Rattus norvegicus: one gene and its partner. The protein of the gene in region 1 purifies or fractionates together with the protein of each later gene. This does not show direct contact. Links are inferred from orthologs where the notes say so. Each region holds a gene or a part of one and is shown in the gene's direction. Other genes may lie near its edges.

Region 1 (3,805 bases):
GAGAGGTGGCTCAGCAGGTAAGAGCACCAGCTGCTCTTCCAGAGGTCCTGAGTTCAATTCCCAGCAACCACATGGTGGCTCACAACCATCTGTAATGAGATCTGATGCCCTCTTCTGGTGTGTCTGAAGACAGCTACAGTGTACTTATATATAATAAATGGGGTTGGGGATTTAGCTCAGTGGTAGAGCACTTGCCTAGCAAGCACAAGGACCTGGGTTCGGTCCCCAGCTCCGAAAGAAAAAAGAAAACCAAAAAAAAAAAAAAAAAAAGAATAAATATTAAAAGTAAAAATAAAAAACCCAAGGCACTGCCTGCTCTCGGCTAATAGAATCGCCTTCTGTGTACGGCAGAAGTAGGAGTATACACAGCACTGCAGACTTTGAACTAAAATTCTCTCATGAGATTGGCTAGAGTGAAACAACATGTCTGCAGGCCTGTGGTGGTTCTGTGTGGTGAATGTGTCTGTGACAGGATCAACCTATTTTCCTAATCAAGAAGCAGAAACTCGTTTTGAAAACCTTTAAGGTACAAGGTAGAACGTGGGCTGAGATATGGCTCCGTTTGCAGAGTGCTTGCCCAGCATGCACAGGGTTCTGAGTTCCATCCAGCGCCATCCATCAGGGAATAGGTGAGTTCAGGCCTAGCCTGGGCTACATGAGACCTTGTCTCAAAGAAGAAAAAGAAAACAGTGAAATTGTATGAGGTGCAGAGTGCTTGCACAGCATGTGCCTGCCCTGGACTTGAACCCGCACCATGTGTTGTGGTGACAGGAGCAGTTCTGTAATCTGAAAGCTGGATCCGTGTACATGCCGATGGCAGAGATGCAGCTCATGCTCGGATGCTCTTTGTGGTGTCAGGGAGCAGCCTCACATTATTGAGATTCCATGTTTTTGTTTTTGTTTTAAACAACAACTAAAATTTTGGAAACTGTACAGAAATTAAATTTGCTTTTGTGAAATTTTCAAATGGCCACATGTGATTCTAGGAAGCTGGATTATGGCTGCTGTGCTGTTGGTGCCCTTGCTTGGTCAACAAGTAAAGTTCTAAACCAAAGAAGAAACAACTCTGTGTTCTGTCGTCTAAACTACTAACAGGCCTTGATGGTACAGGAGATAAAATGTGTTGTTGAAGGAAGCACGAAGTCCACTGTGGATAGCCTGTCCCGGGAAGGAGGAAACTTTTTACTTGATTAGAGCAAGAAATCTGTGCCTTGAGCATATGCAATGAAGAACAGAACTAGCCTGAGGGTAGCAGAGAAGTTTGTGGTCACTCTTATTAATAGGAGCTTTTGTTTCCCTTTGTCCCTTAGCATGGGAGAGACCAACACGGAAAGAAAGACCAAGAAGAAGAGGAGGTAGGTAGCTTTAGGTGACACTACCTGGGGGAGGAAGGTTGGCCTGAAGTCTTTGTCTGCAATTCTTTTTTTTTTTTTTTTAAGATTTATTTATTTTGGGCTGGAGAGATGGCTCAGTGGTTAAGAGCACTGACTGCTCTTCCAGAGGTCCTGAGTTCAATCTCCAACAACCACATGGTGGCCCACAACCATCTGTAATGAGATCTGATGCCCTCTTCTGGTGTCTCTGAAGACAATAACAGTGTAATCACATAAATGAAATAAATCTTTAAAAAAAAATAAGATTTATTTATTTTATATATGCGAGAACATTGCCACTGTCTTCAGACACACCAGAAAGAGGGCATCGGATCCCATTACAGATACTTGTGTGAGCCACCATGTGGTTGCTGGGAATCGACCTCTGGACGAGCAGTCAATGCTCTTAACTGCTGAGCTATCTCTCCAGTCCCTGTTTGCAATTCTTGGTTGTGATTGTATTTTCTAATCTTTTCCTGTTACGTGGAATTTACTGGCTCCATTTTTCCTTTTCCTATAACATTCTAAAATCCTTACACCTGACAATAATACTGCTGCCTGGTCTTGACCTAATAAATCTTACAAGATTTTGCTAAAGGGAACTGGAAAAATGACCCAGTTGGTAAAGTGTTTGCCATGCACATAAGCCAATAGATAGGTGCAGCAGCAGGGGTTGGTGCAGCCGCGGCGCTGGGGAGGTAGTGATGGGTGGGTCCCAGTGAATCACTGAGCACCCTGCCCAGCTGAGTCAGGGAGCTCCAGGTTCCATGACAGTGACTCTAAAGTGTAGAGCAATCGAGGAGAACTCAGAGATCTGCCTGGCATGTTTGGGTTCTTTTATTGTTCGGTTTTGCTTTTGTTTTGTTTTTTTAGAGAGAGAGAGAGAGTGTGTGTGTGTGTGTGTGTGTGTGTGTGTGTGTGTGTGTGTGTGTAGGGGTGCCTCTAGATCCCAGAAGTGGACATTGGATTCCTTATAGCTGAAATTTCTGGTATTTTTGAGCTGCCAGGTATGGGTGCTGAGGTCCAAATTCCATGACAGGCCTCTGACAGAATAGTAAGGCCTCTGAGTGCTGAGCCTTCCCTTTGGCCCTTGTTTTATTTTCTGGACACTAGATCTCACTTTGTAGCCCAGGCAGGCCTCAAACTCATGGTGACCCTCATACTTAAGCTTCTTGAGTGCTAGGGTTACAGCCACCATGCCCTGCTTGTGTTTCTTGTGTGTGTGTGTGTGTCTGTGTGTCTGTGTGTCTGTGTGTCTGTGTCTGTGTGTCTGTGTGTGTGTGTGTGTTGGTTGGTTGGTTGGGGGGGGTGACGGGGGTGTGTGTGTGTGTGACAGACTTGCCTTGACCTTACTGTGTTGCTGTGGGTGACCTTGAACTTCTGACCTTCTTGCCTTACCTCCTGGGATGGAAGGCTTGTGCCAGCATGCTCAGTGTATGGGGGGCACACCTTATGGACTCCTAGAGAGCTTGCAAAGTGTTTCAGCAGTTAGGCGATCCCCAGACATCTGGCTAGGGCTAGCTGCAGGAGCTCAGCACGAGCGTTTCTAAGCACTGAGTTAAATGTCCATTTCCCATGTGTGCTCTTTGTGTAACATTATAGGCCTAAGAGTGTCACGAGTACCTCTAGCAGTGACAGTTCAGCCAGTGAGTCTTCATCAGAGAGCGAGACATCTGCCTCGTCCTCTTCAGAGGACAGCGACGCAGATGGAAGCCTCTCCAGCTCCTCCTCCTCCTCAGCCTATTCCTCCTCCTCGTCCTCCTCCTCCTCCTCGTCCTCCTCGTCCTCAGACTCAGACTCCAGCTCCTCCAGCAGCAGCAGCAGCAGTTCCGAGAGCAGCTCTGACGACGAGCCACCAAAGAAGAGGAAAAAGAAATAGAGCTCTCTCTTCTCTGGACCAATGGACAGAAAGCATTTGTGACTCCCAGGGGAACTGAAGACGTGCTCAAGCAAGCAAGTTAGCTGGTCAGACTTGTTAAAGTCCAGAACTTTCTAAGTATTCACCATTGTGTAGGATATTAAATAAAGATGTTATATATATAAAGATGTTTATTTTAGGAATGACTATTGGGTTTTTGCTGTTGCTTTTCTTTTTGTAAAGACTGGGTCTCATTTTGTAGGCGTGGCTGGCCTTGAACTTGATCTGTAGCGCAGGCTGGCCTCGATTTCAGAGAGATCTACCTGTCTGCTTCTCTAGTGTTGGGACTACAGATACGCCACCATGCTCAGCTTTTGTTAACATTTTTTTTAAATAATTTTTGAACTCTATCTGTAGTACATAATCAAAGCTGAAAACCAGGAAATCTATTTCAGTGATGGACAAAAGTCATTTTTCTCCCGCCTATGAAATGAATGCTTCATGTGGTATATGTTAAGGTGTGTATGGGTCGGTCTTTGATGATACTGCATCAGAGTATCAACAAGTTTCTTGT
Region 2 (4,505 bases), about 17 Mb from region 1:
AGTTCCAGTGGCAGGGGATGTGCTGGACCCAAGGCTTGCAACCTCCCGGAGATACGGACCGGGTCCCGAATTGAGGGTCACTGCTCCTTCAGAGGGCTGGGTTGGACCAGGACTGCGGACAGAGTTCCCGGAATGCAGGAGGGAGCCAGGACCGCGAAACGAGCCTACTCCGGAGGGTAGTCCGGTGTCTGTTTGTATACCTCTGACACCTCCAGGTACTGCCCTAGGAACCCCGCCAGGGGATTCCGTACTGAGACCACTAACAGGTGCCAGAGACTCCGGCTTCTCCATAGCTCAACTTGGTAATCACTTCAATTACTCAGCCTCGCCTTCTACACATAGCCCCTCCCGTTGGCCCTGCCCCCACCGCGGTGGGCGGTGGGCGCTGGGGGCTCCGGGTCAGACCGGACCTCCTCGCCTCCTCTCCCTGGCGCTGGTGCAGGTGAAAGCCGGACTATATAGACCTGAGCCTGGGGGCTCCTCCGCACACCCTTCTCTAATTGTTACACCCAAAGACTTTCTTTGTCTCTGTAATTTGTTCCCGCCCTTCCCCATCACTGCCCTTCTCCGAATCAACCAATCACAGTCAAGGGGCCTGGCCAGAGGCGAGGAGCCTTGTGACGTCACAGCCCCACAACACCAGCGAGAGCCTCTGAGTAGGGTTGGGTTCTGCTTATAGCTCTCAGGTAATCTCCTGGATCTCTCAGTTCTGTGCCTTGAGATTACCTATCGGGACATCTCTAGGATTTTTATTAGTAATTTTAAGATTCAAGAGTTTCATTGACTCGGAGCTCAAATTGGTCTTGAACTACGTGCGGGTTCCCCCACCAGTCACCTCATTATACTTCATAGGAGAGGTGTGATGAAAAGTGTGTGGAGCAGGGGGACTGCGACGAGAGGAGTAGGATTGGAACAAGGAGAGGTTGGATTGGATTGCGACATTTCCGGTCTCGGTATTGTGAAGGGCTGAGACTTGGATTTATAAAACTACCTTTTCTCTGTCCCGAAGATAGTGTTTACGTCGCCTTAAAGCGTGTAGTGTGAGGGGGAGCTACCACCCTTTGTGTTAAAGCTAATGTTTTAATGGGTCGCTTTTCCCAACAAGGGTTGGGTCCTCGGCGCGGGGCGAAGTCGTAAAGTGTATCTGGGCGCCAGCACGCCTTCGTCGCAAATACGCCTGCGGCGGGCGTTTCTTCCATTCACTGTCGCAAAAGCAGCCCCAGTCTTCTAGATTCTCTTAGCCGCTGTCGTCCCGCTGTGCCGTAAAGCAAGTCTCCCCGACCCCGTCGTCCTTCGGTTCCCCTCGTGATAGACCTTGGTTCCTTAGCTCTGGATGCTTCAGTGCCGTAAAGCATATCAGGCCCCAGCCCCCGGCCGTATTCCCCCAGGGCGTCTATCCGCCGCGGTTGCCACGGTGCCGCCAAGCGCGGCTGTCGCGCGGCCGCGGTATCAGCGGCGATGGCGGCGGGGTCGGGTGGGAGTGGGGGCTCTGGGGCAGGCCCCGGGCCAGGGCCGGGGCCAGGCGGGGGAGGGGGCCCTGGCAGCAGCGGACCAGGACTGGGGTCCAGCGGGGGTCTCGGCAGTGGCGGGGAACTGCACCCGCGCACTGGGCGCTTGGTAAGCCTGTCGGCCTGTGGGCGCACAGCGCGGCGGCAGCAGCCGGGCCAAGAGTTTAACCACGGGCTGGTGCTGAGCCGAGAACCCTTGCGCGACGGACGCGTCTTCACTGTCCGCATCGACCGCAAGGTGCAAAGCTGGGGCCGCGGAAACGAGGTGTGGAGGGCGGTGGGAGTGGACGAAAGGGAGAAGAGGTAGAACTACCAGAAAGTCTGCATCTCCAACCAAGTCTCCAGGTACCGATGGCAAGCCCTAGAAGAGAAAGGAAAAGAGCGTGGAGCAGAGACATTCATTCTGAAGGAGAATGAGTTTCCTCAGGACCCAGAAGCAGGACAGGGATACAGGGCTCAGTTATTAGGATGGCTAGTGAACAGTTCTAGCACAATCACTTAGGGATGAAAGATAGACAGGTGCCCAAGATGTAATGGGCGAGTAGAGAAATAGTAAAAATCACAAACTGTTGACAAACAAACGACGCCCAAAGCCAGAAAGATAGATGGAGACATGGGAAAAAAGAAATTGTGTGTGACTTGCTTGACTCCAAAACGAATTTGGAAAGAGAAGAGAATGAATCTGGGTGTTAGAGGATCAGGGGTGGGAATGAGAGTAAGGTAGGAGAGCGATCTATATGAACCTAAGAAGCATGTGATTGGAGTGGTAGAGGAGACACACGGACTGGGGAATGAGAGGAAGTCAGGTTAAAACCAGGGCATTTAACCAGCTTGCAGTGGGTAAAGGGTGATGTGGTGAAACACTTGGCAGCAGAACAGCACACAGATGCTGAGAGCCGGTGGGTCTGGATAGTTATGGAGGCTATGTCCAAAAAGTTATTTGTGTGTCTATGTCAATGACCTCAGAGGTCAGGGTGAGAGGGGTGCAGTGCCCTGGAATGTGGCTTCTGGTGATGGGATTCCATCCTGACACTCTGTCCACCCCCCTCTCATAGGTCAACTCCTGGAGTGGCTCCATCGAAATCGGAGTGACAGCACTGGATCCTAGTGTGCTGGACTTCCCAAGCAGTGCCACTGGGCTGAAGGGAGGGTCCTGGGTAGTGTCAGGCTGCTCAGTGCTTCGGGACGGGCGCTCTGTGTTGGAGGAATATGGCCAGGACCTGGACCAGCTTGTGGAAGGGGACCGTGTGGGTGTGGAACGCACAGCCACTGGGGAGCTCCGGCTCTGGGTGAATGGGCGGGATTGTGGTGTGGCAGCCACAGGCCTGCCTGCTCGAGTCTGGGCTGTCGTGGACCTTTATGGCAAGTGCACCCAGATCACTGTGCTGCCCCCTGAGCCAGGCTTCAGCCCTTCTACTCCTATCTCCACACCTCCCCTTGAGCCCTTGGCCCCTCCAGAAGATTCTGCCCTGTCGGAACAGGGGACTTCTGTGGATGAAGGTGAGAACACAGCTTCGGGGAAGCATGAGGTTTGACTGAAGAAATGGGGCAAAAGCAGCCACAAGTCAGCTGGGGGAGGGGAGGGGACGTTGAGCCCAGAGCCTACTGCAGGCAAATATAGAGGGTTAGAAGAGATGGTCTCCTGACTGGGCCCTGAAACATGGGCTGAACCCTTATTCCCCTCCCATCTACCTGGTCCCTAGCCTTCATGGTGTCCCCAGCGCAGGCCCGGCCGGAGACGTTTCCTAACAGCCTTGATTCGCATAATGGTGAGGGCTTCGGGGAAGCCCAGGGAAGGGGATGGGTAGTGAGGTGGACAAGGGTGGGATTTAAGAGGCCGGTAGGGAGAAGATGGTTCCAAGCTAGTTTGGGGGACAGAGCTTCATCTTGACTTCTTCTTCTTGCTGCTGTAGACTTTGCCAGCATGGAACTGTCTGAGGTGGTGAGCAACGCCATCCTGTCTGCCTACAATGGGGGCCTTCTTAATGTGAGCCTGAGCTCCCCACCAGCTGCAGACGGACTGGCATCCAGTGGGTCAGCCACCTCTCCCATCCTCACTTCCAATGATGCCCTGCTCTTTCATGAGAAGTGTGGAACCCTCATCAAACTCAGCAACAATAATAAGACGGCTGAGCGTCGGAGGCCCCTGGATGAATTCAACAATGGAGTTGTCATGACCAACCGTCCACTTCGGGATAATGAAATGTTTGAGGTATATAAAGTCCTGGAGTCTGGCCGAGCTTCCTGCCAAAGATTTGGAGCTAAATGTTGGGGATGATCCTTGATGGCAAAATGACTGACTGGTGAAGAACTAAGGGTTTGAGCATCCGTCTTCTGTTGTTATATTTCCTGGTCCTGTCTGCTCTCACCCAACCCCAGATCCGTATTGACAAGCTTGTAGACAAATGGTCTGGTTCCATCGAGATTGGTGTCACCACCCACAATCCCAACAGCTTGGAGTATCCAGCCACCATGACCAACCTGCAGTCAGGTACCGGCTATGTGGTAGGGTAGGGACAGAAGCTTTGAGTTGATAAGGTCGGGACGGCCTTTCCCTAACTGGGTACTCATCTTTACCAGGCACCATCATGATGAGTGGCTGTGGGATCCTGACCAACGGCAAGGGTACGCGCCGCGAGTACTGTGAGTTCAGTCTGGATGAGCTGCAGGTGAGTGTGGAGCATAGGAGCTTGGGCCAATCCAGGGAAGCCAGGGTGCCAGCAGTGCTCCTGTAAACAAGAACAAGTCTCTTTCTGCACGAGGCTTTTTTTTTTTTTTTTTTTTTTTTTTTTTTTTGTTCTTTTTTTTCGGAGCTGGGGACCGAACCCAGGGCCTTGCGCTTCCTAGGTAAGCGCTCTACCACTGAGCTAAATCCCCAGCCCCTGCACAAGGCTTCTGAGAAGGCAAGGTTGTCTAACAGGACCAAAGATATACTTGTTAGTAGTGCCTTTTTCCCATGGTGCTGGGTAGGGAACCTAGGGCCTTGAAAATGTTTGG

The links.
Region 2: the proteins of Zcchc10 (region 1) and Neurl4 purify together in Homo sapiens (co-immunoprecipitation; 3 studies listed by BioGRID and IntAct, with this or other methods). This does not show direct contact. The link is inferred for Rattus norvegicus from reciprocal best matches to the Homo sapiens genes ZCCHC10 and NEURL4.

Annotation. Positions count from the first base shown.
Region 1 is NC_086028.1:37,977,959-37,981,763, forward strand, and holds part of Zcchc10 (zinc finger CCHC domain-containing protein 10), read left to right. Parts: intron 1-1,310; coding exon 1,311-1,355; intron 1,356-2,975; coding exon 2,976-3,252; 3' UTR 3,253-3,805.
Region 2 is NC_086028.1:55,122,902-55,127,406, forward strand, and holds the start of Neurl4 (neuralized-like protein 4), read left to right. Parts: upstream 1-1,422; 5' UTR 1,423-1,458; coding exon 1,459-1,746; intron 1,747-2,563; coding exon 2,564-3,008; intron 3,009-3,211; coding exon 3,212-3,277; intron 3,278-3,421; coding exon 3,422-3,720; intron 3,721-3,887; coding exon 3,888-3,999; intron 4,000-4,088; coding exon 4,089-4,177; intron 4,178-4,505. Other genes in the region: Ppp1r2l1 (protein phosphatase inhibitor 2-like), read right to left, coding at 1-291. UniProt on the Homo sapiens protein: Promotes CCP110 ubiquitination and proteasome-dependent degradation. By counteracting accumulation of CP110, maintains normal centriolar homeostasis and preventing formation of ectopic microtubular organizing centers.